Xenopus tropicalis: one gene and its partner. The protein of the gene in region 1 binds, or shares a complex with, the protein of each later gene. Links are inferred from orthologs where the notes say so. Each region holds a gene or a part of one and is shown in the gene's direction. Other genes may lie near its edges.

The links.
Region 2: ercc2 (region 1) and polr2g share a complex: the UniProt entries of both Homo sapiens proteins name them as parts of the TBP-based Pol II pre-initiation complex. The link is inferred for Xenopus tropicalis from reciprocal best matches to the Homo sapiens genes ERCC2 and POLR2G.

Annotation. Positions count from the first base shown.
Region 1 is NC_030684.2:70,786,034-70,790,188, forward strand, and holds the end of ercc2 (TFIIH basal transcription factor complex helicase XPD subunit), read left to right. Parts: intron 1-337; coding exon 338-481; intron 482-3,079; coding exon 3,080-3,172; 3' UTR 3,173-3,593; downstream 3,594-4,155. UniProt on the Homo sapiens protein: ATP-dependent 5'-3' DNA helicase. Component of the general transcription and DNA repair factor IIH (TFIIH) core complex, not absolutely essential for minimal transcription in vitro.
Region 2 is NC_030680.2:34,586,431-34,590,884, reverse strand, and holds the start of polr2g (DNA-directed RNA polymerase II subunit RPB7), read left to right. Parts: upstream 1-1,442; 5' UTR 1,443-1,710; coding exon 1,711-1,722; intron 1,723-2,906; coding exon 2,907-3,016; intron 3,017-3,494; coding exon 3,495-3,654; intron 3,655-4,400; coding exon 4,401-4,451; intron 4,452-4,454. Other genes in the region: zbtb3 (zinc finger and BTB domain-containing protein 3), read right to left, coding at 1-914. UniProt on the Homo sapiens protein: Core component of RNA polymerase II (Pol II), a DNA-dependent RNA polymerase which synthesizes mRNA precursors and many functional non-coding RNAs using the four ribonucleoside triphosphates as substrates.

The DNA of each region.
Region 1 (4,155 bases):
ATATGACCATGCCAGATAATTGTTGCAGGTCTATGGATATTACACATAATTTTAACTTTGCCTTTGTGCTCTGACACACTCTGCAGTATCCAACTTTTCACATTAAAGGGGTTGTTCACCTTTAATATCCAAATAATTTTAAACCACCAACAATGCTCTCGGCGTGTTAGAACATACATCCACTCTAACATACACTGCTTAATATATCTTCCACACCACACATATACACATACCTCACTCTCTCCCAGCTTTTAGTAGCTGCTGTTTCTTATTGTCCTTATTTTACTAATGCTGATTCTCTTTGACTCTTGCTCCCATACCTGCTTTACTGTTACAGCGGTATGCACGTTCTGATAAGAGAGGAAAGCTGCCACTCTGGATTCAAGAACACCTTACAGATGCAAACTTAAATCTTACACTGGATGAAAGTGTACATCTAGCCCGACACTTCCTAAGACAAATGGCTCAACCATTCCGCAGGGTAAGACTGTTCCTCTGACCAACTTAAGATTTAATTCTTTCTTTTGCAGTGTTATGTGTATTTGTCCATACCCAGCATAAAAAAATGCTTTGGCTGTATGATCTGCATCATGTAATTTGCCCTATTTTGCACAGTATTCATTTATCATTAGATAGGTTGCAGAGTGCTGAGGTAATATAAGCATGTATATATGAATGACTTTATTTATAAAGCGCTACTAGTATATTTTTACAGTATAGAAAAGTACACACTCGGAAGACAATGTTACAATGAATAAACATAAGTGGAAAGTAATTAAGTGCCATGTGATAGGAGTGGGTGGGTAACTTACAGGCATAAAATAGGAGGGCAAAGTGCACAAAGATTTGGGCACAGATCTTTAAGTTCCAAGACTTAGCTGGTAATGTTCTAGTGCTCCAAAAGATAGGATTTGAGTTTCTTTCTTTTTGAAGGGGTTGAGTGAGAATTCCCTACAGAGGAATTCAGGGATAGAATTCCAGAGGTAAGGAGCAGCAAAATAGTAAGATTTATAATGAAAGATGGCAGTGGGTGTGGATTATGTGAAAGGACAGTGACTCTAAGAGAAAAAGGAGGAGGCAGCCAAAGATGAACAGGCAGACAAGTAAGGGATTTGTAGTGAGGAGCAGAGGACTGAAGGATTCTGAATGTTAGTAAAATTAATTTGTATGGTATTCTTTGATTAACAGGCAGCCATGATAGATATTTTACTAGGGGGTGAACATGTTGCCTCTTAGGAGATGACAAGAGGATTCTAGCTGCAGGGGTGAGAGGTGGGTAGTAGGAGGTTGCAGTAGTCTAAAGGTGGATATACACTGTAATATCCACCTGATATGCCCACCTATGGGCTAACGTGCTGATGCGGTCCCCAATCTGATGGAAAAATCAAATCTGCGTGATCTGTATCTGTCCAGTTTCAGTCCAGACATTGGTCAGGAAGGCCCGTCGGTGGTGCCCATACACAGACAGATAAGCTGCTGAGTTGATCTGAAGGACCGACATCGACAGCTGAAATCAGCCTGTGTATGGCCACCTTAAGTGTGATGGGATAAAGGCATAGATTAGTGTTTGAGCTGTTACTTGTGAAAGAAATGGGTGTAGCTTTTCAATACTTTGGTTGAAATCTTCGTTTTTTGCATTGGCATAAATATGTTAAGAAGGAGAGGGGCTGGTCAAAGATAATCCCCAGGAAGCATGCCAAATCAACAGGGTCAATGGTCATGCCATCGGTAGTAATGGTAAAAGAAGAAAAGCCAGGTTTGGGTAAAAAGATCATGAACTCTGTTTTAGCTAGGTTCAGTTTGCATGGTATTGGTTTATCAAGAAAGAAATTGCTAGTAGGCAGTTAGAGATCTGGGTCTGAATGTCAGTGAATAGTGAGGGGGTGTCTATGTATATTTGGATGATATTTGCATATAAGCAATATAAAAGGCCAAAGAGATAAGGTTTTCTAAAAAATGTACAAGGAGAGCAACAGAGGGTTGAGTATGGAGCAATAGGGCACCCCACACTAAGCTGAAACCATCTCAGTGGCGTGTGCAGGTTGAACACCAGGCTGCATAGGGTCAAGCAGATTATAAGTGCAGAGAAAGTTAGTAATTTGAGAAAGAGCTTAGAGGCTTGCAGTAAGAGAGAGGCAGGGAGCTAAATATGGGAAAACAATCATTGTGAATTTGATTTATTATTTATGAGTGTACTATGGAATCTTGCTTGGCCTTGGAGAGGGCAGAGTTGGGACATTTATAATGGAGGAAGTCCACTTGCGGGAATCATGTCTGCGGATTTAGCCAGGGCTGGTGGTTCTGGGCACATTTGTGGAGTGGTTGCAGCAGGGCTGCATGAAATAGATTTATGTTAATTGCCAATTGCTTCTGTTTCAGAGTAAGCATTGAAGGCGGTAAGGCAGAGCATAAAAAAGCAGTTATGTCAACAATACGAGTTACGGATCAGAATTTTTTGGCTGAGGGGGAGTGTGCAAGCTAAAGAGATAATTATCTGAAAAAGGAAATTGATCATTGTTAAATGTGGAAAATTGATAGGTTTTTGGTACTGACTAGATCAACCATGGGAGTAAAGGTCCCCATACACCATCCAAGGGACCGATATCGGCAGCTACTATCGGCCCGTGTATGGGGACCTTAAGAGATGAAAGTGATCATTAGTAAAACAGAAAGATTGCTCTCTGTAGAGCCATAAATCTGGAAATGTGTGTAATCTATTATTTCTTACTGAATATAAACACAATTTTTGGTTATTTAATTGAGACGTTCCATGACTAATTAAAAGCACAAGTGTTTCATACAGGTTATGGAACTCCAAAGTGCTTTCTGATATTCTCATATTTTAGAATAGGGAGTACATTATTAGTTTTAATATAAAAGTTTCAGTGAGTCATGTGACACAAATGACATCACTAAACACCATATAAGGTTATAGCTCACAGGATATTTGTGGTATAAATTTAAAACACTGATTGCTTTTTCACTTCAAGGAGTAACTGGATTAGCATCCTCTGCCATATCATTGACCACTGTATTTCATCTTGCAAAAAACTTACCATTTTATGCTTTTCTTTTTTAGGAGGACCAGCTGGGACTGTCACTTCTTACACTTGAGCAATTGCAGTCTGAAGAGATGCTACAGAAGATACAAGAGATTGCTCATCAGGTGTGAGAGGCACAGAAAGAGTGCTTCCAACCTTCACAGACTGCTAAATCTGTACCACTTAGCAAGTGATCTGATGACAGCCAGACAGTGACATGTGAGTGTTCAGAACAGGCATTTTTGTGTTACTCTCAGAGAGGCTGTCTGAGGATGCTGAGAATGTTCACCAGCCAAACTGATTTTCACCTATTACAGGTTTGCAAATAAGTGACCATGTAAAACATATAACAGTTGTAATATAATACAGATTGAAGACATTCACACTTTAGATATATAACAGCTTGTGCTGCTTTGTGTTTGTCCTGAATTTTCTATTTTTATGTATGCCCAGAATATATAAAAAATGTGCAAAGTCAGAATGACATCATTAAACAGTGTGTGTTTTAACATACTCCAATAAAGGCTCTGTACATTACAGAAATGCTGAAAATCCCCTCTTTTTTTCTTTTTTTTAAGGTTCCTTGGAAATTTTAACTATTTTTTCCTCTTTCAGCACTATTATGGAAACTGTTTGCCCAATTCAGCTTTTTCCTACTTATAGTTTTTGTCATTACTGTTATGATTCTTCAGGCTACTGCTTTTCTTAGTAACACATGGCAGGTGTCCTAACTAATTATGACTTTGCTACTGTTTTCAGTTCCAGTAGTCCCTGTAATGTCAGACTTGAGCAAAGTCCTGTTCTTCCAGCCATTAGTGTTTTAAGCAATTGCAGCTCAGTCCATGAAGATCTGCAGCTCCTCAGGTGGCAGATTTGGTTACAGGAATAGGGACAGTAGTGATTAGATTTTGCACTAACTGGACCTTTGTGAATTTTAGATAAGCTAAAAATACAATTCTCTTTTCTGAAATATTCTGGGTTTAAGTAGAAAGATTGGCAAAGTTTGCCTCATTCCAGTATCCACAAATCTTGTGTTAGAAATCATTATTACAGTTTCTCTGGACAATGGCAAGACTTGCTGATACTTGCTTACTGTTGGTAGAGGCTATGACGC
Region 2 (4,454 bases), on another chromosome or scaffold:
TCCTGCTGTTGATATTTTATACTCTCTGGGACTGGCTGCTCATTCTCTGTTCTTTTTTGTACCTCAAACCTTGAGGTCCCTGCCACCTCCTGATGACTTACTGTTAATTGCTGCCCATGGCCTCTTGCACTACCTACAACTGAATGTCCACTGCCTGTTCCCTCCTGTATATCAAACCCAGAACTTCCTGCCACTTCTTGTCCACCTTCTACCATTGTAAATGACTCCGTCCTGGAACTCACTGCTATTCTCTGCCCATTTCCTGACAGCTCTTGGGCCTGATAACTTAAACTCCCTGCCACTCTCTGTCCTGTCCCTACAGCCTCTTGTCTGTGGAACCTAGAACTCCCTGCTCCTTCCTGCATCTGGAACACTACATTTCCTGGTACTTTCTGCTCACTTCCTTCTGCTTCTTCACCTTGGCATCTCAGATTCCTTGTTCCACTCTGCCCACACTCCATACCGTGTTGTCCCATCTTTACATCTTCACTTTCTGCTAAATGGTAGGCCGTGGAACTCTCCTCTTCTCGTCGTGTGCTGTCTGCTTCTGCTGGTGCTCGGCCCTGCAACCTCTTTTTGCAGACCCTAACAACCTCATCCATGTGAAGGTAGCTGGCGGCTGCCAGAACATCCTCAGCTGGTGCCTCCTGGAAGCTGAGTCGGCCACAGTACATAAAATTAAGAAGCAGAGAAAATGCTGGTGCTGTAACAATCTGGCTATTTAGGGTGAGGTCCCGTGTATCTGGATGCTCCCTGCATGACATGTGAAAAAAGGGGCTGCAAGAGGCCAGGACAGAGCGGTGAGCCAGAAAGTGGGCAGTACCAACTATCACTTGGCAATCGCACAGAAAACCTTGCAACTGCTGGTCACGTAAACTGTGCAGGATACGGCGACTGTGATCTGGAAACTCCATGACTGAAACAGTAAAGAGAGAAAAACAGCATTACATTTACAGAGCAAGCAGTCAAACACTCTAGTCTTTCAAATTATGCAAGTCATATCTGTAATATTTGCAATAATGGAGTATTGTAGATGATGACAAATGATATTAAATTTATCTGTCCACTTAATAAATAGAAGTTAAAAATACAATAGTTGTTCCCACCTCTGTTTCAGATACAGGCAAACTACTTCACCTCCAGCCTCAGTCCTCTCTTGGTTAATTAAAAGAAATGTCAATAGCAATAGGGTATATTATATACACACTGCGACATCAGCTTCACAATGTCAACATTTCAACTAAAATACAGCATTTCATTTTCGGTCACGTGATCCAGACATCCTCTTTACCTGCACAAAGCAAATCACGAAAACCACGCCCTTGCCGCCAGCCTATTGGTCACTTTCTCTCCGGCCCGTCCCCAATGCTCTGGTTGGCCTGTAGAGTTGGTTGTGGACAGTGGTTGTAGCCAATGCGCAACGTACTAGACAGCGGGATCCCCGGTAGCCTCTAGGTGGGTGTTCAGTTCCGCAGCTCGGTTCCTCTCGATTCTCTACATTACAGTACACTACATTACACACCGAATCCTCGGATTACCCGGAGCCGAGCCGGTTCTGCCACACATCGCTGCCTCACGTCATTTCCTGTTGTGTGACGCCAACAAGCGGGGACATACAATCGCGCCGCCTTTTAAACGAGCTTTATTGTTCCCGGAATAGAGCATATTGGGTACATCGTGCAGCAAAGAAAGTGACTGCGGGGCCACGGAATGTTCTACCATGTAAGTCCAGTGTCTGTTTTATTGCTTTGGGCATGAATTATCACAGGCGGTAAGTGTTTATGTAAGTGTACAGAATCCTATGTGACTTATTGCATCATTTTGTAAGTGTTGCTTGTTTTCTGTGAAGCCCTTTACCTGCGGGTTACTAGGTCGGGTACAGCTGTTGTATGTTCCTGAGGCACTGGCCTGGCCTCCTGGATCCTCCTTATATGCCTTTTTGGACCATAGAGCAAACTGTTTTATGTGCTTGGCCAGTTCACTATAGTACATTCTCGAAGGCCAGACTATAATGTAGTGACTAAAGTACCCCCTGTTGTAAAATATAAGGCTATTATAAGTCACCTAGGACTTCCTTGACCATATTAAAGCAAGAGGCCAAAGGCAGAGTGATGGAACTCCTGGGTGACTTCTAATATCCTTCTATTTATTATAATACACGTGTGAGTCGTGTGACGGAAATAACATCACTAAGCACCAGTTATAAGGATATAACTTACAGGATATTCATGGCTTTTGTGTATTATATAGTGAATTAAGTACCAGGGCTGTGAAATCGGAGTCGAGGAGTCGGAGGCAATTTTGGGTACCTGGAGTCGGAGTCGGCAAGAAATGAACCGACTCCTACTAAATTTAAATGGGAATAAAAAAAATTAAAATAAAGCAAGTTTAAATGTCCCAATTCACAAACAGTCATAATTAATTACTTCTCTGCTATAAGAATAAAGCCCAATGCAGAGCCAGTAGTTCTGTAGTTAAATGACATGTATGTCTCCTTCCTTTCCTTCAATGAATGTATAAAATACATTAGCATATTAAAAACAGAGGAGTCGGAGTCGGAAGTATCAGAAACTGAGGAGTCGGAGTCGGAGAATTTATCTACCAACTCCACAGCCCTTTTAAGTACCCCCTATTCTAAAATATAGGGATATTATAAGTCAAACTGTTTTCCTGTAGTTGGCCAGTTCACTATAGTACATGCTCGAGGGCCAGACTATAATATAGTCACTAAAGTACTAAAGTTTTGGTGTAGCTAGTGGATTATTAGTAATAGCTATTGGTAATTAGCTAATAGCAATTGATATCGAAGAGGACAACATTGGAATGGTCCGATCAGTGTCTATATCAGCCAGTTAGGCCACAGTCATGTGATGCCATTTTCTTCTTGTTTTTTTTTTAATCCTCAGATCTCATTGGAACATGAAATTCTTCTGCACCCTAGATATTTTGGCCCTAACCTTCTCAACACTGTCAAACAGAAACTCTTCACTGAGGTAGAGGGAACATGTACTGGCAAGTAAGTACATATGTATGTAAGTAGTTTTGCATGTATACACTGTATTTATATGCACTAGAACAGTTGTATGTTTTCTCCTGCACATTAGTGCCATTGTACTGCTGAGTGGCGCTATTAGCCCCATAAATTATCTGTTGTCTCCCTGCAAACTTGTTTTCGCCTGCCACCATGCAGAACCCCTTTATGGGCCTGTGTTGTTCTCTAACACAGCTTTTTCCACAATGTCTCAGTAGTTGATGTTGCACTTAAAGGGTGGGCCAGACTCTGACAGTTCGGGGGCATTATTACATTTATCCTACACCTATCAGGACTTTGGTCTGACATCCAAGCCTGATGCCAATGACTGAGCCATTTGGGAAAGGAGCTGTAGCACTGGTCTGCAATGAGGGGCTGTGGGAAGGCAGGGGGGCCACAGTGATAGTGAAACTCTGCGTGTTTCATAAATGCATTTTTAATGTTCCTTTTCGTCTCTTCACAGGTATGGTTTTGTGATTGCAGTGACCACAATCGATAACATTGGTGCTGGGGTGATTCAGCCAGGGAGAGGGTTTGTGCTTTATCCCGTCAAGTACAAGGCCATTGTCTTCCGTCCTTTCAAGGGTGAGGTGGTAGATGCCGTGGTGACCCAGGTTAATAAGGTGAGAGCAGCACAAAGCAGTCATACAGTCTATTAATTTAAATTAGGAGAGCGTCCTCCTGCTGCTGTAAACTAAAATCGCATCATGCCGAGGGGAAACTAGAAGTTGGTAATGTAGACTGGAATTTTACACAACTTTTCTGTCCCAGTAGCATTTGTTGAAACATTAAAGGAAGAGTAACACTAAATTAAAGTACTTAAAATATAATGTGCTGTTGTCCTGCACTGGTAAGTCTGGTGTGTTTGCTTCAGGAAAGCTACTATAGTTATATTAATATATAAATAAGCTGCTGTGTAGCCATGGGGCAGCCATTCAAAGGAGAAAAGGCTTAGCTTACATAGCAGATAGCATATAAGCTCTCTAGCATATAAAGGTGTTCTACATTGCCTAACTGTTACCCCATGCCATTTATCCCTATTTCAATTGCCTCCATTGATACACAGCAACTTGTCTATATAAACTAGAGCAGTCTTTCTGAAGAAAACAGATTAGTGATACTAGTGCAGGGAAACAGTACATTATATTTTAATTACTTTAAAACACATTCATTTTTTTGGTGTTACTGTTCCTTGAACAGCAAATAGCAGTACCATGTCGCCATTCGCTTTTGCTTTGCCTGCAGATTTCATGAATTAGGATGCTAATATTTGTGGTGGATCAGCAGCAGGGATGTAGGTTGGCCTGAATGAATGAATGATTCAGGGATACTCAATGCACTTAACCTCTTATTTGCTTGGTCCCTGCAGGTTGGATTATTCACTGAAATTGGTCCAATGTCCTGCTTCATATCAAGACATGTG